Caenorhabditis elegans: one gene and its partner. The protein of the gene in region 2 interacts with the protein of the main gene of each other region in a pairwise test. Each region holds a gene or a part of one and is shown on either strand. Other genes may lie near its edges.

Region 1 (6,337 bases), on a different chromosome or scaffold from region 2:
GTTGGAGGAAGAAGGAGAAGGTACGTTGTGTACTACACGAGGAGAAACTTTTTTTTTCAGATTTTGGATGAATTTTTATATTCTCCAAAATCCGAAAAATCCAACAAAAATTTATTTTCGCTTCCTTCTCTGAATTTTTGTTGGCTTTTGATCCGAAAAAGCAAAAAAAAAATTTGACGAAAAACACCAAAAAATGAAACAAAAAATCAATTTTTTTACAAAAACCGAAAAATTGTAATTTTAGACAAATAAAAACCAAAAAAGAAACAATTTTCTACCAGAAACTTTTAGAAAACCAATTTTCGACATAAACTCCGAGAAAAACCAATTTTTGATTTACAAAAAAAAAAACCCGAAAATGCCAATTTCTTACTAAAACTAAAAATAAATAAATAAAAATCCCATTAAAAACTTTTTAAAAACAAATAATCAAAAAAAAAACCAATTTTCGAGAAAACAAACCCGAAAATATCAATTTCTTACAAAAAACCCATAAAAAAATTTTTAAAACAAAATTTAAAAAAATTTCGGTTAAAAAATGTATGCCAAAATTTTAAAAAAATCTAAATTGATTAAAAAAAATAATATCTCTCCAATTTTGCAGACGATGAAGTGATGGAAGTAGGAGGAGTCGACGGACAATTCATGATGGATGGCCGAGCAGTTATGGAATAGTTTTCCCTCGTCCACGGCCACAATCACCTCTTCATTCAACAACTAATCTTTCTCACTAATATATTCTTGATTTTCCCCAAATAATCCCATTTTCTTCTTCATCTCCATTGAATTTTCACGTATCCGGGTAGTATTTAGGATATCATTTCGTTTCAAACCAGTCCCCCCACCACTTTTTTTTTTTTGAAATCTGAAATATTCAGATTTCCCCTGTTATTATTTAATACTGTCACAGTCATTTCTGTACCTTTTTTGAAGTTTTCGCACTGAAAATTTTCCAATTTTTCATTAAAAATAGCCCAATGTGTCGTCGTTTGTGCCTTTTCGGTCCTCCTGTTTTTCTCGAAAAAAAACCCGCTTTTTAAAAACTTTTCTTCATATACTAAAACTTTCAGTAATCCCAGTGTGTGTTCTCTCTTATTCATTTTTTCCCACCAATTTTCATACAAATTTGAAATTGTACAGAATTTTCCCTTTTTTCCTTTTAATTCTTAATGCTAAAATCACTTAATTTTACCCAAAAATAATTTACCATGTCTTCTCTAATTCCCTGTCTCTCTCTCTCTCTCGCTTGATTCACAGTTTGACGTACTCCGCCGAACAATTTCGCTTCTTTTTTTGTTGAAATGTTTTTTTTTCACACCTACATAGCCTATAAGCTCCAATTATTGTGTCTCTCAGCGGCTTATTTGATATATTGTCCACAATATTTCTCGTGTTCCTTCTCCTTCTCGCTGACTTGGAGATTTTGTTTTTCCAATGAAAATGTATTTTAAATTACTTTCAAACGAATTTTTTCAAAACAGTAAAATTTTCGATGGTTTTCCATATTTTTCCCAGAAAAATCGCTAATTTTGATGAGCATTTGAATTGCCGCGCGCTCATTCTTAAGCTCCGCCCATTTTTCCGTGCCGCATTTTCCAGGTTCGGCGCTAATTTTTCGATTAATTTCTTTATTTTCTAGTGAAAAAAAAGGATTTTTGTGGAAAAATTTCAGCCAAAATCCGAAATTTTCTATTTTTTCGGTTTTTTTCGGAGAAAATCAAAAAAAAAAATTATTTAAAAAAATAGTCGAAAAATGTCTTCAAAAGTTGAAAAAACATTAAAAATTAAAATTTTTCCAATTAAAAAAAAACCAAAAAAGTTTCGTTTCTCGCCATTCCGAAAATTTCGAAAAGTGCGGCACGGAAAAGTGGGCGGAGCTTAGAGACAATAAAATTTTATTGATTTGTTCATTTTTTTCATGGATTTTACATTAAAATTCAGTTATAAAATAAAAATAAAAATAAACAAAAAAAATGTCTTCAAACGCTGCAAAAATTTTTTTTCGCCTTTCTGAAAATTTCAACAAAATTCAAAGTGCTGCACGGAAAAATAGGCGGGGCTTAGAGACAACTTTTTGAAAAAATTATTGATTTTTTCATTTTTATATAGATTTTACATCAAAATTCATTTATAAAATTGAAAAAAAATTCTGCAAAATTAAATTTTAGAAAAAATTACTGGAAAAAAATGCGAATTTCCCTGCAAAAATGCTCCAAAACCGCGTGCTCCGTCCTATCAAAACGTCCAATTTTATCGCCGAAAAAGCCGAAATCCGAAGGAGAAGCCACTTCATTTATTGATTATCGACGTGTTAGATGTCAGGCTGGAAATGGTGGAAATGGAATGGTTTCATTTTTTCGTGGATATCGGAAACCATTTGGTGGTCCAGATGGTGGTGATGGTGGACATGGGGGACATGTCGTTTTTCGAGGTACTTATTGCATGCTGAATTATTGGAAAAGCACGAAAAAATCAATTTTTTCAACGAAAAACTCAACCAACTTGGGTCTCGCCACGAAAAAAACTTTTCAGCTACAGTAACCGCAATTTTTGGGATTTCCTTGATTTTTTACATAGTCCAAACTTGTTAAAATTTGAAATAAAAATCAAAAGTGAGTTAGAAAAAAAATAAGCGGGTACGGTAGCTGATTTTCGTGGTGGGACCCGAGACTGTGAAAAATTGATTTTTCAGCAAAAATTTAATAGAACACCGGTGAGCATTCAAGAAAATTGTGAAATTTGGTTTTTTTTCATACGAAAAAAAAAAAATTCAAAAATGGAAATACGTTTTAGTCGTAAATTTTTCATTTTTGAGTGAAATTTTACAATTTTTTAACTCTAAAATTCTGCGGAAACCGATATTTTAACACATTTTCACCTAAAATTTCAAGATTTTCCACTAAAAAGTAGTCTTTTTAACAGTTGAAGTGAATTTTCACAGTTTTTTGATTAATCTTCCGTAAATTACGTTCCATGGTAAAATTTTATAAAATAATAATGAAAAATTGAAAAATGTATAGAAAATTCAATTTTCAGTCAAGCTTTCTGATTTTTAATATAAATTTATTTCAAATTTAGCGCGAAAACTTTGCGATTTATTGAGAAAAATTTAAACTTAGAAAAAAAAAGTTTTTAAAAATTAATTTTAAAGCTACAAATTCTAAAAAAAAATCAAATTTTCAGCCAGTCGCAGTAGTAAAGATCTCTCGACAGTTCACTCAATCGTACGGGCTCAAAATGGAGAATTCGGCAGGTATCCGGCTACCACAAAAAAATCGTAAAAAATCTAATTTCTACATTTTCCAGATCAAAATCATGTCACGGAAAATCAGCAGACCATAAAGAAGTTGAAGTACCTCTTGGTACCGTATTCAAAGCTGATGGGAACACAATTTTTGAGTTAAACAACGAAAATGATGTGAGATTCTCTCGATGGAGCGTACTTACAACATTCAACACTTTTTTTAGATGTTCATTGCGGCACGTGGCGGAGTTGGAGGACGTGGAAATCAGTTTTATGTGTCGAATGAGGTCCGAAAACCATTTAAAGCAGAGTATGGAGGAGAAGGAGAAGAGGTTTTGTTCATATCTCTTTTAATTTCAGTTTGTAGTCGATTTGGAGTTAAAATTCGGAATGAGCGTAAAATTTTGGATCGTAATGATGTGCGACATGACCAGAATAGGCCGGGCCTGCTTTGTGCCTACTTCATGCCTACAGCCTGCCTACCCGTAGGCACAAAGTAGGCATCGGGCATGTCGCACATCGATCCGGGCCTAAATTTTGCGCTGATCCCGAACATGCACTCCGAATTGGGCGAAAAATTCAAATAAAATTTTTTCAGCTAATTTACGACGTGGAAATGCGAGTTATGGCGACAGCAGGCCTGGTTGGATTCCCGAATGCTGGAAAATCGTGAGTTTTTCTGGAAATTTCATATAATTTTCGCGACGAGACCAAAATGTGCTCAATTTTCAGTTCGCTGCTCCGTGCAATTTCCCGAGCCAAACCGAAAGTCGCCTCGTACCCATTTACAACGCTCCACCCGCATATTGGTGTTGTATTCTATGAGGATTTCGAGCAAATCGCGGTTGCCGATATTCCAGGGCTCATTGAGGATTCTCATTTGAACAAAGGGCTCGGAATCTCTTTTTTGAAGCATATCGAACGATGCGAGTAAGGGAACATTCACTGTGTCGATTTACGCAGATCGTGTAGTCCTCGAGGATAAGATTTAGGCTGAAAAACTAGATTTTAGCCTATTTTGGCTCAAGTTCAAGTTCAACAGTAAATTAAACATGTACCAATTCTAATAGTTAAAAAAAAACTGTGAAATCTTTTCCTCGTGGAGTACACGAGCTGAGTAAATCTACAAATGGTCGTGTTCTTCTTCCATGCTAAAAGGTTAAACATATCGTGTTTTCAGATCCCTGTGGTACGTATTGGACTATTCCACTGGATCACTGACAGATCAATACAAAATGCTCCGCGTTGAACTGGAAGGATATCAAAAAGGGCTTGGAGATCGAGCATCAACAATTGTAATCAATAAGATTGATTTATCAGGGAAGAGCCCGGAGGAAGAAGCTCACCACCTCTCTTCACTCTTCCCGAATCTCCCTGTATTTCCTGTTTCTGCACAACAACGGATAGGATTGGAGCCTCTATTAGAGCATCTTAGAGAACAATATGATAAATGATTTAGTTAGATTTTTAATAAATAATTTTATTTTCCGTTGACCTTGAATCCAATTAAACTCAAGTCGCCGTCTCGCAAGAGCCCGATGCGTAGACTTCTTTTTAGTGAACTGCCAGAGTCACTATTTTTAGTGAACTGCCAGAGTCACTTATTTTAGTGAACTGCCAGAGCCACTTATTTTAGTGAACTGCCAGAGCCACTTATTTTAGTGAACTGCCAGAGCCACTTATTTTAGTGAACTGCCAGAGTCACTTATTTTAGTGAACTGCCAGAGCCACTTATTTTAGTGAACTGCCAGAGCCACTTATTTTAGAACAATCTATTTTTCGTGAAACAATCTATTTTTTCGTGTAACAATCTATTTTTTCGTGTAACAATCTATTTTTTCGTGTAACAATCTATTTTTTCGTGTAACAATCTATTTTTTCGTGTAACAATCTATTTTTTCGTGTAACAATCTATTTTTTCGTGTAACAATCTATTTTATCGTGTAACAATCTATTTTTTCGTGTAACAATCTATTTTTTCGTGTAACAATCTATTTTTTCGTGTAACAATCTATTTTTTCGTGTAACAATCTATTTTTTCGTGTAACAATCTATTTTTTCGTGTAACAATCTATTTTTTCGTGTAACAATCTATTTTTTCGTGTAACAATCTATTTTTTCGTGTAACAATCTATTTTTTCGTGTAACAATCTAAATTAGAAAATTCATCTACCGTTCTAAATTGGAAACTTCATCTACCGTTCTAAATTGGAATATATTTTGGAATATATTCTGGAATATATTCTGGAATATACAAGGAAAACCTGGAATCTTCTAGAAAAGTCTGGGAACTTCTAGAAACTTCTGGAAAATTCTGGAAAAAAAATTAAAAAGTTTTAGAGAAACTCAGAATCTTCTGGAAAAATTTAGAAGCTTCTAGACTTTTCTAGGAAAACCGGGAAAATTTTATAAAACTCTAGAATCTGCTAGAACTTTCTAGAAAAATCTGAAGACATCTAGAAACTTCTGAAAACTTCTGGAAAAATCCTAAAATTGCTAGAACGTTTTAGAAAATTCTGGAGACATTAAAAAAAAATTGGAAACTTCATGATTTTCTTAACAGGAAGAATTTCGCCAGGAAAAGGTGTAACTGCGCAAAAGGCACAAAAAGCAATTAGAGAGTTATTGAAACAATTTGTGTAAGCCATTATTTATTTTCTTTTCTAAAACAATGAAACTATAAATTATCGAATATTTTCCGCCACAATCTTTGCCTCCTTTTTCAAATCTCTTCTCCAGCAGAAGACAAGTATTAGAGAGGTGAATCCTAAGAGACCAGTCGGGAATAAAAAGAGCCAGTATTCCAGATCACGCTGAAAGAATTTTTTGCTGAAACTGCAAACTGAAAAAAAAGGAAAAACTTACATCATAATATGTGTGGCATCGTTGAATTCCGCGAAATTCTCGAACGCAAACCAAACTCGAGGAGATCTCCATGCAGTCACTGGAAATTTATTATAGAGTACGGGTACTTCACCCCTCAACCTCACCTATTACTGGTACTGTACACCCGGGACGCTTGAATCGGCGTCGACCACCGATCGCTTCTTGTCATTCCCAAAACGGTATTCAATTTTGGATCGCAATAAACCA
Region 2 (4,923 bases):
CCAAGTGATTAGTGTTTAGAATGTTTATAAGATTTTGAGATTTTAGAATAGTTTCCCACGTGTAGAACCTTCGAAGACCTTGCGTGTTCGGTTAACCTTTTTTATTTTACTTTTATGTTTTCGATTTTTCCGATTAATTCATAAAACTAGACTTGCCCAATTCGACTTGAATGCTCTTCAAATCTCTTGGCCGCCATCTCACGAAAGTTTCTTCGAATAGTGCCAGTTCACTCAGGACAATCAAGTACAAAACTGTGGATGGAAAACCAAGAGATACACTTACACTTCAAAATGTTGATTTTATAATCAATCCTGATGAGAAAATGATTGATGAGTATATGAAAGTGGTAAGTCATTTTCAGGAGTTGCGAGAAGTCTGGCATAAAGACTACATTGAGAAGTTGAAAATGTTCATTTGTTTTAATTTAATCATATATGAGCTCAGATGCATTTCAGTACGGAAATCAACGTTTGAACTTCAAAAGAAACGACATTTCAATGTGGATGAAGTCATTTGAAGGCCGTTATGCTCTGTGGTTTACTTGCCCAAAGGGAACTAACAAAATAATTCAAACATCCCACGTCATCACCTTCCCACCGATACCATCAAACAATGACACAAATCATCAATATCGTGGAATGTTTTGGATTGATGCAGATTATCGTGGAGTTGATAGCATGATATTGACTGATTATATTGAGAAGCTCAGAATTCGTAATCAATCAGATAATGCTGTTGCTCAATGCATGCCTACTTCGATGAACTTATGGAAGAAAATGCATGGACAAAATGATGCTGGACATATTCAGAATGTTTCATATTACAAGCCAGATGAGATGCAGGTTCCTGACGACTTGAATCTTGATGGAATATTCCTTAAAAATGCAACGGAGGCACCAAATATGTATATTGTGAAACTGTTAAATCTTCTTAGAGATCCTGAAGGTTTTGGAAAGGTTTGTTTCAAAATTTGAGTTTTATCAATTGAACATCTTTAGGTAGCATACGACAATAATGGAAAAGTGATTGGATTTGGAAATGTGATCATCTATCCATCTGGTGAATGTGTATTGACTCCACTATATGCTGATGATAGTAAAGTGGCTCAGGCAATATTCAAAAGCATTTTAAAAGAAATTCCACTCAATGACAAGAAGCTTTTGAGATTCCAAATAAGATCAATCGATCAATGTGAAGGAGGATTTGAGTTAGTTTTTGTTTTATGATATCTCAATTTTCATTTTATTTTTAGATGGATTCAACCCTTTGTTAAAAATCCAATAAGAAAGGAAATCATGGGATATTTGACTTACGAAACTCACTCTCCAATTATTAACTACAAGAAGGCATTCGCGAATGCACCGTACACTACTTGTGCAATTTGAACTGATAATGAATAATTAAATTAAAATTTTATTTTTTTTAAATGATTATCTTGACAAATTGAATCTGCTAGCTGGTGAATCATAATCACATAAAAATCTCGCCGTCCATCGACTTTAAAGTACCAAAATGAAGTTGAAAACGCAAAATAATTACTTGCATACTCAAAATTTGACAGTGATTTCAAAAAAAATGTTTTCGGCCGGTGCGACATTGACAGGTCTGTCAAATTTCAAGTTTTAACTAATTTGAGGCCATTTTTTGATCCTTCATTAATTTTTTTATGAAAAGTTTTCAAGCAGTTTCATATGAAATATTAGAATCATAATATTATGAAATTCGGTCTTTTCAGACAATTAGCCAGTGATTTCGACACTTTTGAAAGCAAACATCGAAATTATTTTAAACACTGCCCTTTTAGTTACTTTTGCTGCTTTTTTTCTCGCAAAATTTCACAGTTTCCTGTCTCGGATTTTTTTCCTGATGCAAACGTGCTCCCCCGCAATTTTTTTTCTTATCTCGCAAAAGAATTTTGATCTCAAAGTGCTGCGCGCGCGGCATATTTTTTGTTTTGCTGTTTCGATGGTGAGCTGTGTATTTCGAAATTCATTAATCAGTTTATTATTCTGGTGCGTCCATAGTCTGCGGAAAACGGGAATTTCCCGCGTGCGGAAGCGTCCATAGTCTGTGGAAAAACCGGAGTTCCTCGCTTTTTTTCCTCAAAATTCAAAAAAGTAGGCGTGGCCAACCAATCAGCTGTTGTTTCTTGTTTTCCCATTGCTCAGCTTAAAATTTTACAGCCTCTAATCGGTTGAACACGCCCACTATTTTGAAATTGACCAATAACAAAGCGAGAAACTCCTTGTTTTTTTCCGCAGACTATGGACGCTTCCGCACGCGGGAATTTCCCGTTTTCCGCAGACTATGGACGCACCATTCATATCCTTCCTTTTTTTGTAGTGTTCTTCTGAATTTCTATTCATCTCTGAATTTAATTTTTCAGCCTTCAAAGCCAGCCCCTCGGGTATTATCTCGTCAGACAACATGTCCCACCTCAACTACGAGACCCGTCTTCCGCTCGGCCAGGCAACCATCGATCACTTCATGGGACTTCCAGCTCATCCAACAAAATGCCAAGCTACATATGTTTGGATTGATGGAACTGGTGAACATCTTCGTGCCAAAACACGTACTATCAACACAAAACCGCAATATTTGTCCGAGTATCCGATCTGGAATTACGATGGATCTTCGACTGGACAAGCTGATGGCCTCAATTCTGATCGTTATCTGAGACCGGTGGCAGTGTTCCCTGATCCGTTCCTTGGAGGATTGAACGTTCTTGTGATGTGCGACACCTTAGATCATGAGATGAAGCCCACAGGTAAATAAAATTTTACCCTGAATTAATTTTGTGAGCTTTTTCTAAACCGTTTTATTTTTCCAGCCACCAATCACCGACAAATGTGTGCGGAACTCATGAAGAAGGTTTCCGATCAGCAACCCTGGTTCGGAATGGAGCAGGAATACTTGATTGTCGACAGAGACGAACATCCACTCGGCTGGCCGAAACACGGGTATCCTGCACCACAAGGAAAGTATTACTGCGGTATTGGGGCCGATCGTGCATTTGGTCGTGAAGTCGTTGAGACTCATTATCGTGCTTGTCTCCACGCAGGAATCACCATATTCGGATCGAACGCGGAGGTCACTCCAGGACAATGGGAGTTCCAAATTGGTACTTGCCTGGGTATTGAAATGGGCGATCAGCTGTGGATGGCTAGATACATATTGCACAGGTAATTTTCAAATTCTGTCAAATGTTTCACATTGTAACTTTTGCAAGAAAAACTCATTGTAATGTTGATTTTTTAGAGTTGCCGAACAGTTCGGAGTTTGCGTCTCTCTTGACCCCAAACCACGCGTTACAATGGGCGATTGGAACGGCGCTGGCTGTCATACAAACTTCTCAACGATTGATATGCGTCGACCAGATGGATTGGAAACTATTATCGCAGCTATGGAGGGACTTAAAAAGACTCATTCAGAAGCCATGAAAGTATACGATCCAAATGGAGGACATGATAATTTGCGCCGACTCACTGGGCGGCATGAGACCAGTCAAGCCGACCAATTCTCCTGGGGAATTGCTAATCGTGCTTGCTCAGTTCGTATCCCACGTCAAGTTGCTGATGAAGGAAGAGTTAGTTTCAGTAAACCCTTAATAAAACAATAATATATTTTACAGGGATATCTCGAAGACCGCCGTCCATCGTCGAATTGTGATCCATACCTGGTGACTGCAATGATCGTGAAAAGCGTGCTGATCAATTGATTCCTTAACTACTCATTATTTCATGTGAAAAAACTCGGTCTAATTGCAAACCTTATGATTTCATGTCGTATCATCTCACCAATTCCTGTAATAGTCTGTAATTTAAACGCATCCCAACTCAAAAAACTAACTGCATGTGTCTTATAATACTTCTTTAGCCAATCTCGAATACAACACTAAAGCATCTGCTTATCATGGGACATTGATAGAAAGCGCCAAAGTTCTCCCTTTCAGCTTTAAATATTCGGAAGAAGTGTTCAAAACGTTTATAAGAATTAGTTTAAAATTTATTAAAATATTGCATTCCGAAATATTGCGTTTTTTCTGTACGATTGGAACTTGATTATTCATCTCTCAATTTTCCGTCTGGACTTTTGTCTTGATTTCCGAATTTGATTGCAAGTTGTTCTGCTATATTTTCCAGGTAAATATCTACAGTATCTCCTGGACGAACTCGATAACTTGCTAGAGTACGGTCGGGTATCCAGAGTTCTTGACCTATAAAAACGAGATCAATAGCATCGGATTCTCGTATTCTTCGTGCATTTTTGAATACAGATTACTTGAATATTTTTCAGCTTAGTTTAAAAAATTACATCAAAAACCAACCTTCGAAATAAAGTCTCAAAATATGTCCGGACACATCAATCTCTTTGACAAGCATACTCTTCAATTCACCTACAGTATACTTATATCCTTCATCCAGAATGGTTGATCGTTTTCCTTTTACATCGAATAAATGAATAAATAGGGTTACAGGGCGAACAGCTGAAAATTTGATTAACTGAAAAATTGGGTTAATTTTTGGCAAATACGAATGTTTTTTTGAAAAATGAAAGTTTATTGAATAAAATCTGAAAAATACTGTTGAAACTAATATTTTGTTCGAAAAGTGGAAGTAGTCAAAATGCTAAAGTTTTGCAAAGAAGGGATTTACTACTGTGAGAATAACCATAATTTTTCCAAAAAATTGTTTTCACAGCTTCCCACCTTGATCAGAATATCGGAAAAATGTTGTCAAAGTGACAAATGTGGTGAGAAGAATGAATCGCATTTGAGGAAGAAATGAATGTCTAAGGATATGTGATTATGGACAGAATATGTAATGATAATGAACTTGACCAACTGGTTTACGCCTACTTTACAGTAGCTGTTTGTTGCTGTTTTTCTATGTAATTCGTAACAGATAAAAGAAATTATTGAA

Evidence for each region.
Region 1: the proteins of gln-6 (region 2) and M01E5.2 interact in a two-hybrid assay, tested with the Caenorhabditis elegans proteins (one large-scale study listed by BioGRID).

The regions. Positions count from the first base shown.
Region 1 is NC_003279.8:13,276,007-13,282,343, reverse strand, and holds M01E5.2 (Mitochondrial ribosome-associated GTPase 2), read left to right. Parts: upstream 1-2,168; 5' UTR 2,169-2,187; coding exon 2,188-2,431; intron 2,432-3,183; coding exon 3,184-3,253; intron 3,254-3,306; coding exon 3,307-3,418; intron 3,419-3,468; coding exon 3,469-3,576; intron 3,577-3,842; coding exon 3,843-3,913; intron 3,914-3,976; coding exon 3,977-4,174; intron 4,175-4,424; coding exon 4,425-4,698; 3' UTR 4,699-5,376; downstream 5,377-6,337. Other genes in the region: M01E5.3 (RNase NYN domain-containing protein), read left to right, coding at 1-20, 605-675.
Region 2 is NC_003282.8:9,738,360-9,743,282, reverse strand, and holds gln-6 (glutamine synthetase), read left to right. Parts: upstream 1-2,381; 5' UTR 2,382-2,428; coding exon 2,429-2,768; intron 2,769-2,831; coding exon 2,832-3,183; intron 3,184-3,259; coding exon 3,260-3,587; intron 3,588-3,632; coding exon 3,633-3,719; 3' UTR 3,720-4,022; downstream 4,023-4,923. Other genes in the region: C28D4.7 (DUF1248 domain-containing protein), read left to right, coding at 171-347, 457-957, 1,000-1,208, 1,254-1,386; C28D4.10 (Ubiquitin-like domain-containing protein), read right to left, coding at 4,063-4,217, 4,329-4,487, 4,710-4,773.